Linked DNA regions of Drosophila melanogaster. The protein of the gene in region 2 interacts with the protein of the main gene of each other region in a pairwise test. Each region holds a gene or a part of one and is shown on either strand. Other genes may lie near its edges. The genes, in order: Coop, CG31955, CG12299 and inv.

The links.
Region 1: the proteins of CG31955 (region 2) and Coop interact in a two-hybrid assay, tested with the Drosophila melanogaster proteins (one large-scale study listed by BioGRID).
Region 3: the proteins of CG31955 (region 2) and CG12299 interact in a two-hybrid assay, tested with the Drosophila melanogaster proteins (one large-scale study listed by BioGRID).
Region 4: the proteins of CG31955 (region 2) and inv interact in a two-hybrid assay, tested with the Drosophila melanogaster proteins (one large-scale study listed by BioGRID).

The regions. Positions count from the first base shown.
Region 1 is NT_033778.4:7,490,305-7,494,506, forward strand, and holds Coop (corepressor of pangolin), read right to left. Parts: upstream 2,286-4,202; 5' UTR 1,886-2,285; coding exon 1,642-1,885; intron 1,578-1,641; coding exon 745-1,577; 3' UTR 532-744; downstream 1-531. Other genes in the region: CG1620 (uncharacterized protein), read right to left, coding at 4,065-4,202.
Region 2 is NT_033779.5:3,711,381-3,714,503, forward strand, and holds CG31955 (uncharacterized protein), read right to left. Parts: upstream 1,487-3,123; 5' UTR 1,403-1,486; coding exon 1,118-1,402; intron 1,066-1,117; coding exon 889-1,065; 3' UTR 846-888; exon of another isoform or gene 774-845; intron 689-773; 3' UTR 501-688; downstream 1-500. Other genes in the region: cutlet, read right to left, coding at 1-238; CG2818 (uncharacterized protein), read left to right, coding at 2,713-3,111.
Region 3 is NT_033779.5:10,735,438-10,741,262, reverse strand, and holds CG12299 (uncharacterized protein), read right to left. Parts: upstream 3,919-5,825; 5' UTR 3,496-3,918; intron 3,388-3,495; 5' UTR 3,376-3,387; coding exon 1,165-3,375; 3' UTR 501-1,164; downstream 1-500. Other genes in the region: CG6729 (uncharacterized protein), read left to right, coding at 1-384; Vha16-5 (vacuolar H[+] ATPase 16kD subunit 5), read left to right, coding at 4,306-4,887; Nup107 (nucleoporin 107kD), read left to right, coding at 5,318-5,825.
Region 4 is NT_033778.4:11,473,910-11,478,738, reverse strand, and holds the start of inv (invected), read right to left. Parts: upstream 3,032-4,829; 5' UTR 2,764-3,031; coding exon 1,470-2,763; intron 1-1,469. UniProt on the Drosophila melanogaster protein: Engrailed (en) and invected (inv) are functionally redundant transcription factors in neuronal precursor cell NB5-3 specification.

The DNA.
Region 1 (4,202 bases), on a different chromosome or scaffold from region 2:
AGATGAGCTTTCTGTTTAGCGAAAGTTTTTGAAAGTTAAACTCCATCCAATTGGACCCTATTAAGCAAATCGCAGAACTGTTAAGCCCGCCATTATTCAACGAAAGCTTTGAATCATTTTTAAAACATGGGGAGATGTTTTCAGGCAAAAAACACAACACACCAAAAGGGAATTATCAAGTTGCCTAGGCTCGACCAAGTTTCGCCCATCCGGAGCGCATTGTGATTGGTGAGCGGAGAGAGCGAGCGAGAGCGCGGTACATTAGCATTAACGGCGCATGTGGCGCGAAAATGCGGAGGGAATCACCTTGTGGTTGTTGTTGTTGCCGCGTGCACCACCCTTAAAGAACTTGTTTTGCACTGACAGAAATTTTGAGCCGCCCGTGGCTGGAAAAATGCAATTGCAACAGTGACCGTGGATAATTGGGAACTCGAACTGCGGGCGGGGTGCGCAGGTAAAAGGCGCAGGTGCACCGGAGCGCAGATACAGGTAAAAGTGAGCGGTTATCCTGAGGAAGAAACAAGTAATCATGCTGGCGTGATCGTCTATTTGAAGTGTAAATATGTATTGTAATGCAATATGGTATGTATTGAAGTGTGTTGGTATGAAGGAAAGCAGGCCGGAATACTGATTACATGCTACGTATGTAGGCAGATTCACAGAGTTAGTCAGTCGCGTTCTTATAATACTGTAAGCTAGGCTTATAAAGTAAATCTCCCCACATTCCCCCGGATATACGCGTCCTCAGCCAAACTCCAGTTCCTCGATGAGCACGTTCTGTAATTTCTGGCGCACGCGCAGACGCCGGCGGCTGTCCAATCTTTGCAGGAAGGGCATCAGACTGAGCAGGAACATGCGATCCGCCTCGTCCTGGAGATCTCCACCAGAGGGATCCGTATTCGTGGCCACATCCGTGCTGATATACTTGAATGGCAGATCGGCGGTGGGTGACTGCGAATTGGAGAACACCTTGGCCTCCTGCTCGCTCTTCAGGCTGGATCCGCCGTGGCTAGTGTTATTCGCCTTGGTCTTGGTCACCGCCTGCTCCATTTCGTCGTCGTCATCGAGCACTTCTATGGTGAATACACCGGAACTGGCAGCATCGGCACGATTGCCGCGTTCCTCTTCCAAGTTCTCCGAGGCGGCATCTTCGTCGAAGTCATCGTCATCCTCCTCGTCCTCCTCCCTCTGACTGGGCTCCGACTTAAATCTCTTATTCTCCGGCGGCTGGCAGTCGCGATCCTCGAAGAACGAACTGATGTCCGAGAAGCTGGGCTGGTGTAGCTCCGAGTCATAGCTGTGGCTGAGCTCGCATATGGGCTCCGTAGCAACAATGGGCATTGAGTCATACTTGTCCGGCCCCAGCACATTATTGTTCTCCGTCCAGTGTCCGGGTGGGTGCTTCTTGCTGCTGCTTCGCGTCTGACGCATGATATTCTCGTGAACGGCGGGCTCCATGAACCGCATATCGTTGTAGAAGCGCCACGACGAGGGCGTCTCATTGGACAGGTTATTGCGGATGTACACCTTGCGAAAGTTGTCCCTCAGGTGGCCCCACTTAATTCGGCAGATGTCGGCTGTGAAAGGGGGGAGTCATTTTAGCGGAAAGCGCAGAGGAGAAATAGTCAGCCATACACTCACCTGGCAAATTCACATCCTGACCCACCTCGAACCAAACAGGCGTGATGTCGCTGCGCTTCTGGCCATTGGCATTGTTGCGCAGCCACAACATCGGACGTCGTGAGACGGCGGCAATCAGGCGCTTCACCGTTTCGATGGGCAGCTTGGCGGTGTTGGTGAAGGCGAAGGAGGCGGTGGCAGAGGCGGCGGCAGAAGCAGAGCCGACGGAGGCCGCCGACGATGACGCATTGTAGGCCATCTCCATGTCCAGATCCGAGTGGCCAATTTCCGATAGCCCGATAGCTAGTTAGCCAGATCCAGTTCCGATTCCAACTCCGAGTTTCCCGGCAAGCGACTCGCGCAGCTCAAGCGTTCAGGCAGCACTGAAAATACGAAAAATACGGGCACCACGAAGTGTACGGCCCAGCCAGCAACAACCAGTTTACGTGCCTTTTGGCGGTGCCGAGAGAGAATTGTGGAAAGAGCGGACGGAGCTGGTTGCGACGGCACAGGCAAAGGCGAAGGCGGAGCTGCGGGATCGGGAAGGAGGAGAGAGGCTTGAGCAACAGGCTTTGCCACGAACAGAAGACCCAAGAAGAGGAAGAAGAAGCAGGAGAAGCAGAAGAAGAAGAAGCAGGCGCAGGCGAGGCGGCAGAACAACAACTGAGCTGCCTGGCAATATTATCCGGATGTTAAGCTTCCGCTGCGCTGGCCGCAACTCTGTGTCGTATTTGCGCTTTTTACGGTTGTTAACTTCGCCATTGTGAGCCCACCGTAACGAATCTAATATGCTCTGCACCGAAAACGGCTATTGCAATAGAATTCCACCCGTACAGCGACTTGAGCGGACATGTCACGCGCTTTAGCGGTAAAAGTCTTTACATAGAGCTCTATGGCCCACCCTCCCGTTACGCGAAAGGAGATCCTTTTCCAGGTGACCCAGCCGCAGAGACTGGAAATTCATAGTGTAGCGTATAGAGAGCGGTGTAGTGTACTTTGTTTATTTTTATCAAAACTGGATTTTACTACGGTCGGCTGGCTGGGTCGCTTGGAAATGGAGCTGGAGGGAACGTACAAAATTCACGCCACGCCAGTGGAGCCACCGCCACAGCGCACATACATATGTACATTTCTATATACAGACGAGGGTGTGTGGGAACAAAAGCTCCAGCTGGAACGATCGTGAGCCTGGAACCGAAGACTGTATCCGTTGTCTGTATATGTGTACACACGTACATATTAATGTTTATACGTGTATGCTTGCACGTTTCGGGTTGAGTCTCCTCTTCTTGGGACTGCGAAAATGCAAGTGAAGCAGACATGACAAGTGGCGACCGGGGTTATTTATCAGATCTTCTGTAGCTTTGCGGTTGGGTTTCAGCCTGACATTTGATCCTCGCCGCAATTTATACTCGTCTTTCTACCCACAGTGCGAAAAACACACACACACATTCGTATGCACAATGTACGTGGACAGACATGCGGCCAATAAATGGGAATCCAACACCGTAATTGGCCATTTTCAAGAACGCCTTGCAAAGAAAACTGGGGAAAAGATACAGACATACCTAAGTATCTATGTATACGAGATATGTATGTATATTTATACGGACCGGTTCTTTGTTTCCGATCCGGTTAACTTTTAGGGAATACGGAGTACGATTGATCTTTCGTTAAGATGGTTATTTGAAATCCGTCAGCTTGTCTTTTAAGTAGCGATTAAACTAATGCATATTTGATAAAATTTGGTTAATTTTCGTTTAAATATTGTTTCTTCTATATGTAAACAAAGGCTTTTAAAGGGGAAAATACTAGGCCGAATAAATTAATAATATGATGCATACTTTGTTTTGAACCAAATAAAATAAATCATGCTCATCTAAGATATCTAAGATGTACTTTTATGTAATATTAGTATCTGATTTGTAGCGAATCTTACCTGTGAGTCTACAAAGCTTTCGATGTACATATATATTTATCTTTTCTGATCATACATTACTTTCGTAAATTGAGAATTGAAATTCATTAAATTATTGGAGGTTTTAAAACATTTGGTCAAATATCGACAAAACAATAGAATTGACTTTACAGATATACATATTACATTTATTGACATTCAACGAAACTCAAGGATTGAGCGAAAATATATTGTATATATAAGCGATAAGTACTTGGTTCCGGAATCCACACGCACATGTAACAAATAGACGAATCGCACACTTAACAATAGAGAAATTCTTTACGGGTTATGAGAGATGTCGATTTAAGAATCTGGAATATATATGTTTAGACATATGGTATATACTACACGTACAGTATGCATATTTATAGTGAGTGGTAATGGTAATGAAGCGCCCTGCAAATACATCGCCTGGCCCAACCGAATCGAAAGCGCCTGCGCTCGGTTATGATAATGATGATGGTGATTGTGATAGAGATGTCGTTTACACTGTGGACAGGCTGGGTTCTTCCTCGACGTTGTTGTCCTCGTCCTCCAGGGGCAGAGATGCGGATGAGCATCGCTTTCGGTTCCCCCCGGAAGGATTACCTACCGCCTGACTCCCGGTCATAATAGAATAGCT
Region 2 (3,123 bases):
GGCTAGCTCCAAAGGTAATCTGCGACAGCTGTGGCGATCCCAGTGTAGAGTTTCCAAGACGGGTGCTATCTCTTAGTGCCGCAACGGGAGCTCTGTTTTCCTTTTGCTTTTCAGCGGCCTGTTTGGATGTGCTCGGTCCATCGTACGCGTTAAACTCGTCCGGCAAGTCCTCCAGCAGCTCTAGTTCGTCTTGGTATTGCAGCTCGAACTCCTCGTTTTCGTCCGGATACTGATCCATACTGGTTTCAAACGAGCGTCCAACAAACAACTTAATAAAATCCTATTATATATAAACAAATTGTTACACTGGTATTTTCGCGCCAAAATGGCAAACATTAACAGCTGTTCGATGGCAGAGTTGCCAACTATCGTTATCAAAGTGATGGCTGTCACAAGCTGATTGATTTAGTAAGCTTAAATTATTTGATTTATTTTATTTATAAATGCATTGAATGTAAATAAAAATACTTATATAACTAGTTTCAATAATTGGTTTTGATATTAAAATTGGTGCAGGCACTTGGTAACTATGGCACATTTTCCAAACAACTGTTTTGTATTGACTTGTTTACCTTTCTCGTTTCTTCTTCTTCCACTTTGTTTACTGATAAAGAAAGTCCGCCAAAATGGAAGTGAATACGAAAATGAGTATTCTTTGCATTCCTTATTTCAAAATCAAAGTCATTATCTATAATCAGTAAGCGAGAGCACATTTCCCGTTCCCTTTTAATTACAGCTAGCAAAATGACAGAAGAAAATGACGATTCATCTGTAGGGCTGTTGCATTCTTTGTTTATATTATATATATATATAAATGCATGTGTTGATTTGAGCATATATTGAACCTCTATAATAGATATATATGTTGAAGGTGGCTTGCATTCGTCACTATGCAAAGCTTTTCACAACTTTGGTGGACGAAATGGACTTATGACACCGCGGACACTTGATGCAGGTTTCCGGATCTAGAAGTCCTTTGATCTTGTGCAGACACGGATGTATCTGCGTTCTCACGTGTTCCTTTGCTGCGATTGGCTCGGCAATATCCAACCGCTGGTGGAGTATCTGAAATAAAGCAAGTAAAATGTCCAGCATGTGTTCTTCGATTCCTACTCACATTGTAGGCCTCCTTCCATAAACTTGATTTGTAGCTCTGTTTTCTGGGCTCACTGTATTCATAAACACGAATGCCATTTTTTACTCGAACAGCATGCGGATACGGCGGAATGCTGCGCGAAAGTTTCCTAGTTATAATTTTGCCTTCAGCAGAAGCGTAAGCTGAATCCAAAATATTTCGTACACTTAATTTGGAATCCGGCATGTGCGAAACGTGTTTTTCGTCGTCGTATAAATATTCGTATGGTAGATCAGAACTATGAAAAACTACCTTGTCCCCCTCCATGGTGTGTTCGATAAAAAAAATTTGAATTGAAGACGTCTTATCACGAAGAGCTTCTGCGCTCGACTGATGTCTACTGAATACTGCAAGCTTCTGGAATGTAGGCAGATCTGAACACTATGACTCATTTTTACTAAGCTGCATTCGCGCGGGAGGGACATTAAATAAAGTCAAAGTTAATTTTATAATCCTAAGCTACCGGTTTTATTAAATTAAATCTGAAAGAATCTCTTGAGCTAGGTAAACAACCAACAAACTTTTTATTAAGTAGTAACTGAAAGTTCAGAAACTTTGCCTAAATTGCTGAGATACTTTTCGAAAACTGTGAGATACTCTGTTGCGGAAGACGGTCACCCTAAAAATCAGCTGTTCGCGTTGCCAACCTGTGAGAATGCGCTCAAATATCAAATATAAAACTTGTATTTTAAGTGCGTGTAAGTAAGTAGTATGTAGTATATATCTAAAAAGGCATCTACTATTTTTAAGTGCTTTAGGCATTTAGCATTGTGAAAATATTTACTTCATCAAAAACCTATCGATATCTTGACATTCAAATACTTTTCACATCCCTCGCTAGAATCGGTCAGTGGATATATAGATAACAAAATAATGCAACTCACAGTTTCAAGGGGATCGGAAGCCCCTGCGGCGCTGAAATCGTTCAGATAATATAAAGTTATATCCACATTATAGAGTTAAGCCCCCCCGCCACGAAAAGAGAAAAACATCATGTGTTGTTAGCTGAAATCCGTGAGCAAAAACCAAAAACAGCTGCTATGATCAAAAAATCGGGCGACTCCTCAATTTGCACACGTTTGTTATAGTTTCGTGTACGCGTAGGAAAATCACAGAAAATCTAGGAAAATCAAAGAGAGAGAAAGTGGAGGAGAGCGAGAAATCGAATCCAAACAAAGCGATTTCGGCTTATTCTTCTATTTCAGCACACAACAACGCAAAGTAAGTGATACAAGTTATTTATTTACGTCATCCACTGATAAGGGAAACCAAAAACAATTGCGGACTGCAAGTGAAATTAATGTTGTGTTAATATCTTCGAATTACTTGCGCTCGATACAATAAACAACTTGTGACCGCAGCTGAAAATAATTGAAGTACAGTGCGTATACGCTAACGAGCACAGTAGTACTCGAAAAAAAGAGAGAGTTGGCATAAATTACTTGTGCGCATGCAATACAATACAATTATACTGAGTTTCAACAATTAGTTTAGTTCTTTGCTGCTAACTACTATTATTCAAAGTGTATATAGCTAAGGATTATATATAGATATTAATTATTATCCATCCCCACAGAATGCACAACTGGCTGGCCTCACATAACGGCGATGAGGATGCGATGGCTGCGCCATCATCCTGTCCTGCGTCCTCGGAAAACGGCAGTCGATTGGAGTCCCGCCGGATCTTTGGCGACATTACCACCAACAGACTGTGGACCTTTCGGGTGCTGATGAACCAGGATCTGGCGCCCAACGAGCAGTTGGCCATAGTGGGTAATTGCGAGGCGCTGGGCAACTGGCAGCACTCGGGAGCGGCTATTTTGTCCAAAAATGAGGAGGACAATGAGTATAGTAATCTGTGGACAGGAGAGATCTATATTCCGCGTCACTGTGACACGGAATATCGCTATATGGTCTGTGCCGTCGATCCCGGCACGGAGCAGCTGATTGTCCGCCGTTGGGAAACGCAATTACAGGTTCACAAATTC
Region 3 (5,825 bases), 7.0 Mb from region 2:
ATGCCGCTCTATTATCCCTGTCCCTGCCGATCCCAGAACAACTTTCTGGCGCAGCTGATGCGCATCCATGTGGTGACGCCCAAGGCGCCGGTCAACATCATCGTGGATCCCAAGGTGTGCGTGGGAAGGTACACCTTCACCATGGGCAGCATAGTACCGCCTCGCCTCTCACAGAGCGCCTACTGGATCATCCGATTGCCCTACGTCTACCAGGGTGACGATGTGCTCATCGCTCCGCCCGAGCAACTGGATCCGGGCTATCCGCTGACCGGTGGCTATCTACTGCCTGGGATGTTCGGAGTGGTGGAGACGGATCCCACACTGGATTTGAATGAACCTGACAAGATGGGCGCTTCTGCAGCGGGAAATTTCACTAGGATTTAAGAGTCCACACAAATGAATACAATAAAAACCATTATGATCCTGTACCTCTTACCAGAGTTCCACTGTTAGAACAGTGAATAAATCAAAAGCCTTACCCAAAAAAGACAAGTCTGCGTGCTTAAATATAACGATTAATGTAATCTCTTCAGGCGATTCTGGGAAATACGCGACGTGGAATAGTTGGAGTCGTTGTGGCTCCAACTTGGGTAAGGGTATATCCCTTGGGATGTAAAATGAGCAGCATAAAGTAGGGCTTAATACTAACAAAATGTAATATCTTTGTAAGATACTATGCAAATACAATACGTCCATTTCCTGGACAATCTTCTTTAGTCGTGTGGGCTTCGTGTGATATGAGATACAAAACTGGAATTTCGCTTTCGGTTGCCCAAAATGTGCCACAAGTTGTACTGGGAATGCTCACAAAATCGCTTTTGATCTTATGATTAGTAAAAAAAAAAAAGGTTCTTGGTGGTTCCATGGTTAATAGATAAGTAACTGATCTTTCGCGTACCGAGTTGAAACTTTGAAGGTTTGTTGTGTGCTCTGGGAATCCTACATGGTAACCTAACAACGATAAACTGTGAGTTAAGTACTTTTGGAACACTTCCGACAAATGTCTTCTCTGTAATACCACACGACATCATTAAACAAAATTAAGTGTATAAAAAAAGTGCGGTCAGCACATTTTGTGATCCAAACGTAGTTAAGAACTGTCGTGCCTTTCAATGTAAATATGAATTACTTTCGTAAACTATGGCCAAATCTTAGTACCTAGATCTAGATGAGCGCATCGGTGTAAACCTCCTCCTCGTTGACGACAAAGTCGCCGAACACCTCCTCCTGACAGCCCACGTCCATGTCGCCGAAGTCCTCGTAGTACATGTCAGAGTCTAGCAGGATCTGTTCCTCCTGCAGCCCGAGAATGGGATAGCCCGGATTGGTGAGAGCGTCCTCTGCTGCCAGCACTTCCGTTTTCACCTCCGCCGGCTCCTCTGGTTCATCTTGTTCCTCCTCCTCATCCGGCGGTTCCTCCGCTTCGTCGGGCTCTTCTTCGTCCTCGCCGGTGGAGTCCATGGCTGGCAACTTGGGCTGCTGCGGTAGCTGCATCTGATGCGGCTGTTGTTGCAGATGCTGCTGCTGTTGTTGTTGCGGATGTTGCTGTTGTTGTTGCGGAGGTTGTTGCTGGTGCTGTTGATGCTGCTGCTGATGGTTCATCTGCTGCAGGACGCACTGAACCCGCTCCACATAGGCTTGCTGCTCCTCTGCACTGCACTTGACGTCTGGAATCGCTCCGCCCGGCGCCGTGTTCATTCCGGACTGCTTCATCGTGTCCAGCAGCGCTGCGTGCTGGCTGTGCACATGGCTGGCCAGTGCAGTGGCATCCGCATGCAACGATCCGCAGACAATGCAAACGAGTGTTTCGTGCGGCTGCTTGGCGACCAGCAGGCCAGGCGACGTGGATGCGGAGGCGGCCGAAGCCATCTGGTGCGCCTGGATGTGCTTGTTGAGGTACGCCTGCTGGCTGTACGACTTGCCGCATATGGGACACGGGTAGGGCTTCTCGCCCGCATGGATCTTCATGTGAACACTCAGACTGGAGGCCTGTGTGAAGCACTTGTCGCATAGCTTGCACTGGAACGGCTTTTCGCCGGTATGGATGCGCATGTGGATGTTCAGGCTACCCGACTGCGTGAACGAGCGGTCGCACAGCGAGCAGGTGAATGGCTTCTCGCCCATGTGGTTCTTCATGTGCTGTACCAGCTCCGAGCTGGCGCGGAAGGCCTCGCGGCAGATGGCGCACTGGTACACCAGCTCCTGCGTATGCATGCGCATGTGCTCGTCGAGCAGCGCCTCCGCCTTGAATTCGCGCTCGCACTCCGGACAGATGAACGTCTCCGTGGGCGCGATGTGCGTCTTCTGGTGCAGCAGCAGCGAGCTGTAGTTGATGAATCCCTTGTCGCACTGCACACACTGATGCGGCTTGCGCACCGAATGCGAGCGCATGTGCACCATCAGGCTGCTGGACTGCGTGAAGGCCTTCGGGCAGAGCTCGCACTTGTACGGCTTCTCGCCGCTGTGGATGCGGATGTGCGTGTTCAGGCTGCCGATGTGCGTGAATGTCTTCTGGCAGATGGAGCACTGGAACGGCTTGTTGGTGATGTGCGAGCGCACGTGCTTGGACAGATCGCCGGCGTTGGGAAAGCTCGCCTCGCAGTGCGTGCACTGGAAGCATTTCTGGTTGCCATTCAACGCTGGATCCATCACGGGTGCACCGATGTTGCTCCGCCTTCCGCGCCGCCGCTTGATGGGCGTCGATTGCAGGCCCAATCCCGGGCTAACAGTGGGTGCCGGTGGTAGTAGCTGCTGCAAGGGCGTGACGCTTACGGTCGGCTGCACCATGAATATGGAGGTGGACTCCCGCGGATCTGTCATCTGCAGCTGGAACTCATTGTAGCCCGGACCGGCAACCAGGCCGTGAAGTGGCTGCACTGACTCCTGGCTCTGCTGGGTATTGGAGTTGCTGGTGGTCGGCACCGAGCTGCTTGATGAGCTCGAGTTGCTGGAACTCGAACTGGAGCTGCTGCTGTCGTCGTCGTCATCGTCATCGTCGTCGTCCGACGACGAGGAGCTGTCGGAGCCCGAGGAGGCGCTCCCATCCGACGAGTCGCTGCCATCCTCCGCCAGCTCGCACACCGGCTCGAATATCCAGCTGTAGTCCTCGCTCTCGTCGCCCGGGCTCTCCTGCTCTTGCTGTCCATTGCCCGGCTCATGGGGGTGCAGGGTGTTCATGTGCTGGTACAGCGCCAGCGGATGGACGAAGAACTCCGCACAGCACATGCAGTGGAAGGTGAGATCCGGCGGCTGTGGCTGCTGCGGTTGCTGCTGGGGTGGATTGGGTGCCTGTTGCGGCAGGAGGTGCGTCTGCTGCAGGATTGGCGTGATCGTCAGGGGCAGGTGGTGGTAGCTCTGTTTCAGCTGCACGGCCATCTTGCCAAAAGGCTGTGCAAATCAAACAACAAAAATCACAAGGAACACAAGCGACGAGCGTGTGAACATTTTCTCTATAATAAAAATGCGCGTTTGCGGGGAGAAAAATCAATGCCGTACCTTGGGTGAGATTAGATGCGAAGTGCCGTGGATCAGGGGTTCCGTAGACTACTATTATATCACTGGTGTGTGCTGTTGCTCAGGTTCCGTGCTTTTGTGTTTCTCTCAGGGCTCTCGTCCACATTCGTCCACTGCGTTCCATTTTATGCGCCGCCAGCGAAATGCGAATAACTTGCTTCCTGTTTTCGGTGCTCGCTTGTTTTTGAATTTGGCTGCTCGGTTCCGTGGGTCGCCGGAATCGCGTACCGTCCTCCGACCCGTTGTCTGGTTAGCTGCGACTGCCAGGAGCTGCGACTCGAGCGAATGCAGCGCATCGCCCAATCGCAATTCTGCAGAGCCAAAATCGCAATTGCAAGCGTCTTCGCCGTGCGTACAACAAATAAAAGAAAAATGTTTTATGTTGGGCGGCCCTTGCACGATTGGACGGCAGCATATCGTCATGCAAGCGTTTCGTGCACGTCGCCAGCATGATGACCGATAAACCGCGCAGCTTCAAATTCAAACCGCAATCGATTGTTACATCTTTCGAAGGTTTTAAACATTTAATAATATTTAATTTAATTTCGAGTGCCTAAATCTAAGCAAGTTTTATTATTAGTGTTTAATTTCACTTAACAAGTTGCTAAAATTATTGAATTGAGCCCTAACATCTTAAATAATATTAATATTAAATATAAACTGCTCATCTCGTTCCCCTTGGATTTTCTTTCTTGCCAAACTACAGGCTAGTCAGACTAACAAGTTGGAAAATCCAGAAAGCAAGCAACGTGGATCGTTCCTTTTCAAGTAAATACGAAAAAGGCTACCAAAATGGAAATGGATTACTATCTGCCAGTGTATAACGGATCAAATTCGGTGGACGTGCCGGGGCTGATTGAAAGTCTCAAGCTGAAGGAAACCAGTATATCGCCAATCGTGCTGGATCGCTATCCGCCGTACTCCCCGTTCTATGGCGTGATGGGCGTCGTATTCTCCAGTGTGCTGACCTCCGCTGGAGCGGCCTACGGAACTGCTGTTTCCGGAACTGGAATCGCCGCCACAGCGGTGATGCGTCCCGAGCTGGTGATGAAGTCCATCATTCCGGTGGTCATGGCGGGCATCATTGCCATATACGGTCTGGTGGTATCCGTGCTCCTATCTGGGGAACTAGCGCCTGCTCCCAAATACTCGCTGCCCACCGGCTATGTACACCTGGCCGCTGGACTTTCGGTGGGATTTGCTGGACTGGCTGCCGGATATGCAGTGGGTGAAGTCGGCGAAGTGGGCGTGCGGCACATTGCCCTGCAGCCACGCCTCTTTATCGGCATGATCCTGATCCTTATTTTCGCCGAGGTGCTCGGTCTCTACGGCCTGATCATTGGGATTTATTTGTACACGGTCAACATTAAGTAGCAGAATTTGTTATATCTAAAATATTTAATTCGTTAAGAAACGTTTTTATCGATCTTTAATATTTGAAATGCCTTTTGAATTTCTTTACGCGATTGTGGTACTCATTTCAGGTACGCCGTTGCGGTACGCGATGGAGGTACCCCATACTAATGATTCTACGGAATGCTGGTACCTTATTCTTTAGCAGCTTTGCCGAATTACTAGATATGTAAACAATTTAAATCAATTTGTTTCTTACGAAATTTGCTTGAATTCAGTGAGAATCGCTTATTTACAAGTGTATGTGCAAGGGAGCTTTCTTGCTGTTCCGTCATCTGGTAACACTGAACGCTCCCGGCATTTTTAGCGAATAGCGCGTGAATTTCTGTTTTGATTAAATTAATTGAATTGATGTGCCGTAGCTGATAGCCAAGAAACGCATAGTGCAGCCATGGCCGACAGCCCGTTCCCGAGGAGCAGCCGCAGTGGCCTGCTACGCACGACGCTGAACAGCTCGATGCCGCCGCAAAATCTCTCCCACTCGCTGCTCATCCTCGAGAAGAGCAACGCGGAGCAGAATGAGCTCTCGCTGATGGAGGACACCGGCGATGATCTGGATCGGGGCAAGAGCCGCATGGACGTGCTCTTCCCGCAGTTCTTCGACGTGCTGCAGGCTCAGGGTAACGGGCAGGAGGCATTCGAGGTGATCCAATCGCTGACGCAAGTCTGTCGCGGCGTGGTGGAGCAGCTGGAGCTGGAGATCGATCACGGCATGGGTGGGGAACAGGGCGCGCGGCAACGCGAGTCTATGCTCACCTGGCTGCGACAGGAGATAAACACGTGGCGCCTGCTGCACGCCCTCTTCTACGACCGCATCCTGCTGCAGACGGACAGGCAGGCGGATGATGAGATGCAAGATGGCCCCACGCTCGGCGGCAGCGAGAAGGAGGTCATACAGC
Region 4 (4,829 bases), on a different chromosome or scaffold from region 2:
TAAGTTGTGTAATTGGGAATCAGGTAGTTAGAAGGGACGACTTTTGATGGATGAATTACAATTATTTACTGATATTTCAACGTTACTTTCTTCAAGCTGGTGTATTAAGATCTATAAAACGTGTGGATAATTGGCTAAAAACTGTCGTAAGTGCTTAAACAGCTGAGCTCGGCAATCTTACAAATTGCATTCAATGATACTTAATAAAGCAATTAAATTTAACTAGTTAAAGATAAAGTAACTCTCGTAATTATATGCCCATTTAAGGCTGATATTGTAATTGAATAATGCTATTGTCAACTACTCTGTTGAACACCAAAGTTTAGTAAGGTCTTAAACGTTTTAATATTGTGTTATAATATCAAGTATCTGTGATAAAATGCATTCAGTCTATTGAGTAAACCTTTGGCAATTCATTACCGATAATAAACTAGCTGAGCAAGCTAATAAAGGTAAACACCTTAACCAAATGACTGCCATCAAGTGGCTTAAATCACTCTCCATTCGCCACTTGAACCACATGATCCATGGACTTACCCGAGATTCCAGGGGATTAGCCAAAAACTATCAAGGAATCCGAATTGCTTGTTCAAACAGCAATAAGCCACCCCATAAATGAGCATATGGGGCACTCCCACCCATCCGATTCCCCCCCAAATTTCAGCCATGAAATTATTAGGCAAACGATTACGAATTCCCTGCGGTGGCATAAACTAAATTCATGAGAGTGCCATGATTGCTGGGAGATTGTTTTGGGGTTGTTCTCGACGGGTTGGGGTGGTGCTGCACACACAAAAACACACACGGGGTGGGTGGGGTGTAGCGGCATAATGAGCTTAAGTTATGTTACATAAGCCATAAGGACATGAAAACCACTCGAGCAGACACTTCACTTCGGGGTGAGTGTTCGCCTCCCTTTCGCTCGCACTCACTTCATTTCGGTGGTTGGCAAACTAATGAGCTGTGGGTTGCTGTGGTTTGGCTCCGTTCGCCGGCTCTTCTGTGGTGTCTGTCGCTTGTTTGCACAACCGCTTTATGAGCCACCACTCAACAGCTCGTCTCCTCGAGTGTGTTTGAGTTTGGAGAAAGAGTGAGTGACTAGCAGTGCACTGCTTTAGCATAAGATGTAAGATGCTTTAGAAAATGCAGGAAATATCCATAGAAACATATGCAAGTAAATAAATTTTGCCAGGATCTACTACAGAATATCTATAATAATACTGGCATGGTGCTGGAGAATCGTATGTTAACGAGAAAACTTGAAACCAAAGGCTTTTCTTTCAAGCTTATGAAGATTAGTATTCAAAACACCAAAACGTAATTTCATAAACTATATTTGCATTCACAAAGTTCATAAAAAGTACGTTAAACGTAGAAATATACAATATTATTTCATCAATATTTGTACTTATGTTTCGCTAGACAACTTAGATAACTGAAGCAAAATTTTTAAAGAGACTTGGACTCACCTGAGCTGGGACGATCGCTGTAGCGGGTGCAGTAGACCCACGCTGGCCAAACGATGGGAGTGCCGGAATCCTCGCCCGATTTACCGGATGCTCCTGTGGCACCCGCTCCTGCCGCTGGCGGTGGCGACTTGACCAGATCCACTGGTGCCCCCGAGGTGTTCGTCGTGCTGCTGCTGGTGGCGGTGCTATTGGAATCGTTGCTGTTGCTGCATATATTCGCCAGCGAGCTGGAGAAGCTCAAGCTCGAGTTGGCGGCGGCGTTACTTTGAGCCAGATTCAGTGGCTTTCCCGACTTCTTGGGCGCCTTTAGGGGAGATCTGTTGCCATTGGTATTTCCAGAATTTTTACTGCTGCCAGTACTGCTCCCACTTACACTGCCACCACCGATATTGCCACTTAAAGCACCAATCTTGGGCAATCTGGAACCAAAGTCCGCCTTCAGGATATTGTCTATGCTGAATTTGAGCGCCCTTTCGTGCAGATTTTCATTGTTATTCAGGTGATTCTGCATGTGATGATGGTGGTGGACCTGATCCCTTTGCAGTAGCAATTGCTGATGGGGATGCACCGCTCCACCGGGTCCCAGACCCAATGCCGTGGCCGTCAGCTGAGCCAGTGCATCCTGACCGCTGGGCACTGTGGCAACCGCCGCCGCCGCCATTGCCATTTGCAGCTGTTTTCCCGCCGCCGCTGCCGTGAGAGCGTTCACCCTGGCGGCGGCCATTAGATGCATCTGCTGTTTCATCAGCTCCTCGGCGTACAGCTGGGACTTTCGCAGGAACTCCTCCTGGAAGGTTCCAGTGGAGGGAGGCAGTTGCAGGAGATCTTCGGGTGAGAAGGGCGGACCTTCGCTGGGCGGCAAAACAGTGGTAGCAGTGCTGCTGAATGCCGACGGTCGATAGATTTGGCTGATCAAAAGCCTCTGCCTGGCCTGAGCTTGAGCGGATAGCGCAGCCTGTGCTGCTTCCGATTGTTCCTGGCCCACACTCAAGACACTATTCTCACTGCAGCAGCTGGCCGGATCCTCCAGGTCCAAATCGTGCTCCTCCTCGACCTCTTCATCCTCTATGTTCAGCTGCTCCTCGCACTCCGTCTGCTCGTCCTCCTCCTCCTCCCGCACTTGGGGCGAGTTGCCCGGCTGGACAAGCGGCAAGGGCAAGCAATCCGGATGCATTTTACCTACTTCCTGGCCACCTCCGCCCGCTCTCCTCTCCTGCGCGTGGTCCTCTGCCTCCTCTAAGGAAGGAATAGTCAGCTTGAGCGGGGGCGGTCGAGTGCTGGCCAAGGTGGACATCAGTTTGAGGGCTTAGGTCTTCAGCTCGAAAGTTCACAGGGACCAAAAGCCGACGGCATTTCAGGGCAGCCAGAAAGCATTAAAAACATTAACCACAGCCAAAAGATATCACTTGGATTGGCAAATACGCCGCGCTATCGTCTTCGATTGACAATTGGTTTTTGGGTTGGGTGATAAACTTGTCGATACCGACGTTAATCCGCTCGTCCGTTAAAAACGTAACGTGCGCTGTTACGAACCGCCGACCAACTGATTCTCTCGCGAACTGAATAGCAAAGCGAGACGGCTGCAGCTGAGAGCCGATTCAAAAAGAGAACTCTCTCTCGCACACGCTCTCTCTCACTCTCCGTCCTGCTCTGGCTTTTCGAACATCCAATCAGCGGCTGCGGGGCGTGCCCTACTGTTGTCCCGCTCGCGCACACGGTCAGCCGCCTGTCAGTTGAGGTTATGTTAAGTGTTTGTATATTTGTTAATTAAGTGCGTCGTCGCCGCAAAAAGAAAAAAGCGAAAAAGAAGGAAAATAGGGATAAGAACTCCACTCCATTTCCATCTGCGCCTTGTCGTTTTGATTATGCGCTGCAGCATTTAAGTCGTAAATCTCACTCTATGTAGGCTGCTCTCGCCCTCCTCCTCCATCATCATCACTTCACTCCCCCTTTCTTTCGCTCCTCTTTGCGGTCTGGCATCTGCAGTCCTTTTTTGCTGGCATCCTATCCGCCGTCCAGCATTATATACCCACACACACATATGGAGTGTGTGCCTGTTTATATACAACACATGCCACAGCTTCCCCGTCTCCTTCACTCCTTCGCTTCCTTTTACTTATTGTTCTTGTTGCTCCGATACAACGAACATTTTTGCGCTTTTTGATGTCATTGTTGTTGTTAGCTGCGCTTTATAAATCACCACCACAATTTTTGTTGCCCCAACATCTGCCGTGATTTCATAATTGCTTTTGATGCTTTTTTGTCGCCGTTTTATTGTTTGTTGTCGTTTTGCCTTCACACATCCCATCGGACAACATTGATGATAGTTCTGCGTAAATGAATACCAATACGTGTGCAATTGCATACGCTTAATCATGGGCGTAGATTCAAAAGCACTGGGGGGATAATGATCAGCTTGCTGGGTTTCTACTGAACACCTTGTCCGGCATTTAAAGACCTCTTAGTAATGCCAAAATAATTGTAATTTAAATTTGGTCCCACAAGCTAATCAATCTGATATCAATAAAAAAATCAAACTTTGATATTCATGATTACTTACATAAGACATTATTTTTAGAATTTAAGTCACTTCGTTCATGTACTATGGAAATTATCCTCCATTCCTGACCAATTTAAGTAGCCCCTTCTCCCGCCAATGAAAATTTGACATACGTTTGCTTGGGCTTGTCTAATTGGCGAACATACTGCATTGTTGCTGTGCTTTGTGCTCATAAATCTGTATTTAGCTTTCCTTTCAAGTATTTGAGACATTTTTGTGTGTGTCATGTGTGGGGTGAAAACGAGTTTGCCTTGTTTGAAGTGAGGTTGTGCAGGGCATGCCGATCACTCTTTTAATTAAATCAGAAAACTTTGTTGTAGTCCACGAAAAGATTTCTAGGAATGGCTGCATTCATTTGCATCATTTGCTGCGGACCTCTTTAGTGACACAGCCGAAATCGGTTAATGTATCATATTTCATATCTGAAATCGACTATCAAAGTTGCACCTTTTCTCCGTTATCGCCGACAGATTGGACATAAAATATCGGAATTCCAGCGATCTTTTTATCGCTGCTGTTGAACCCATAAAGCCCGAATCATGGAGTTTTTCGGGCTGTCCGCGCTTTATTATCGCTTCGAATCGTATTGGTGGAACCACGCCCCGAAATGCAAAGCAATCCAAGCCAGTTTAATAACTTTGTTGCACCATTACAAAGAAGCCAATGCCAGATGCCGACACTGCGATAGTATAAGCACCGACAAACGAATTAATCAGGCTTAATTTCCAGCCCTCGACAAAAGAAACAATTATACGCAGTATGATTAGGAAAAGGAATGGAGTACAAGAAAATAGTTTCAT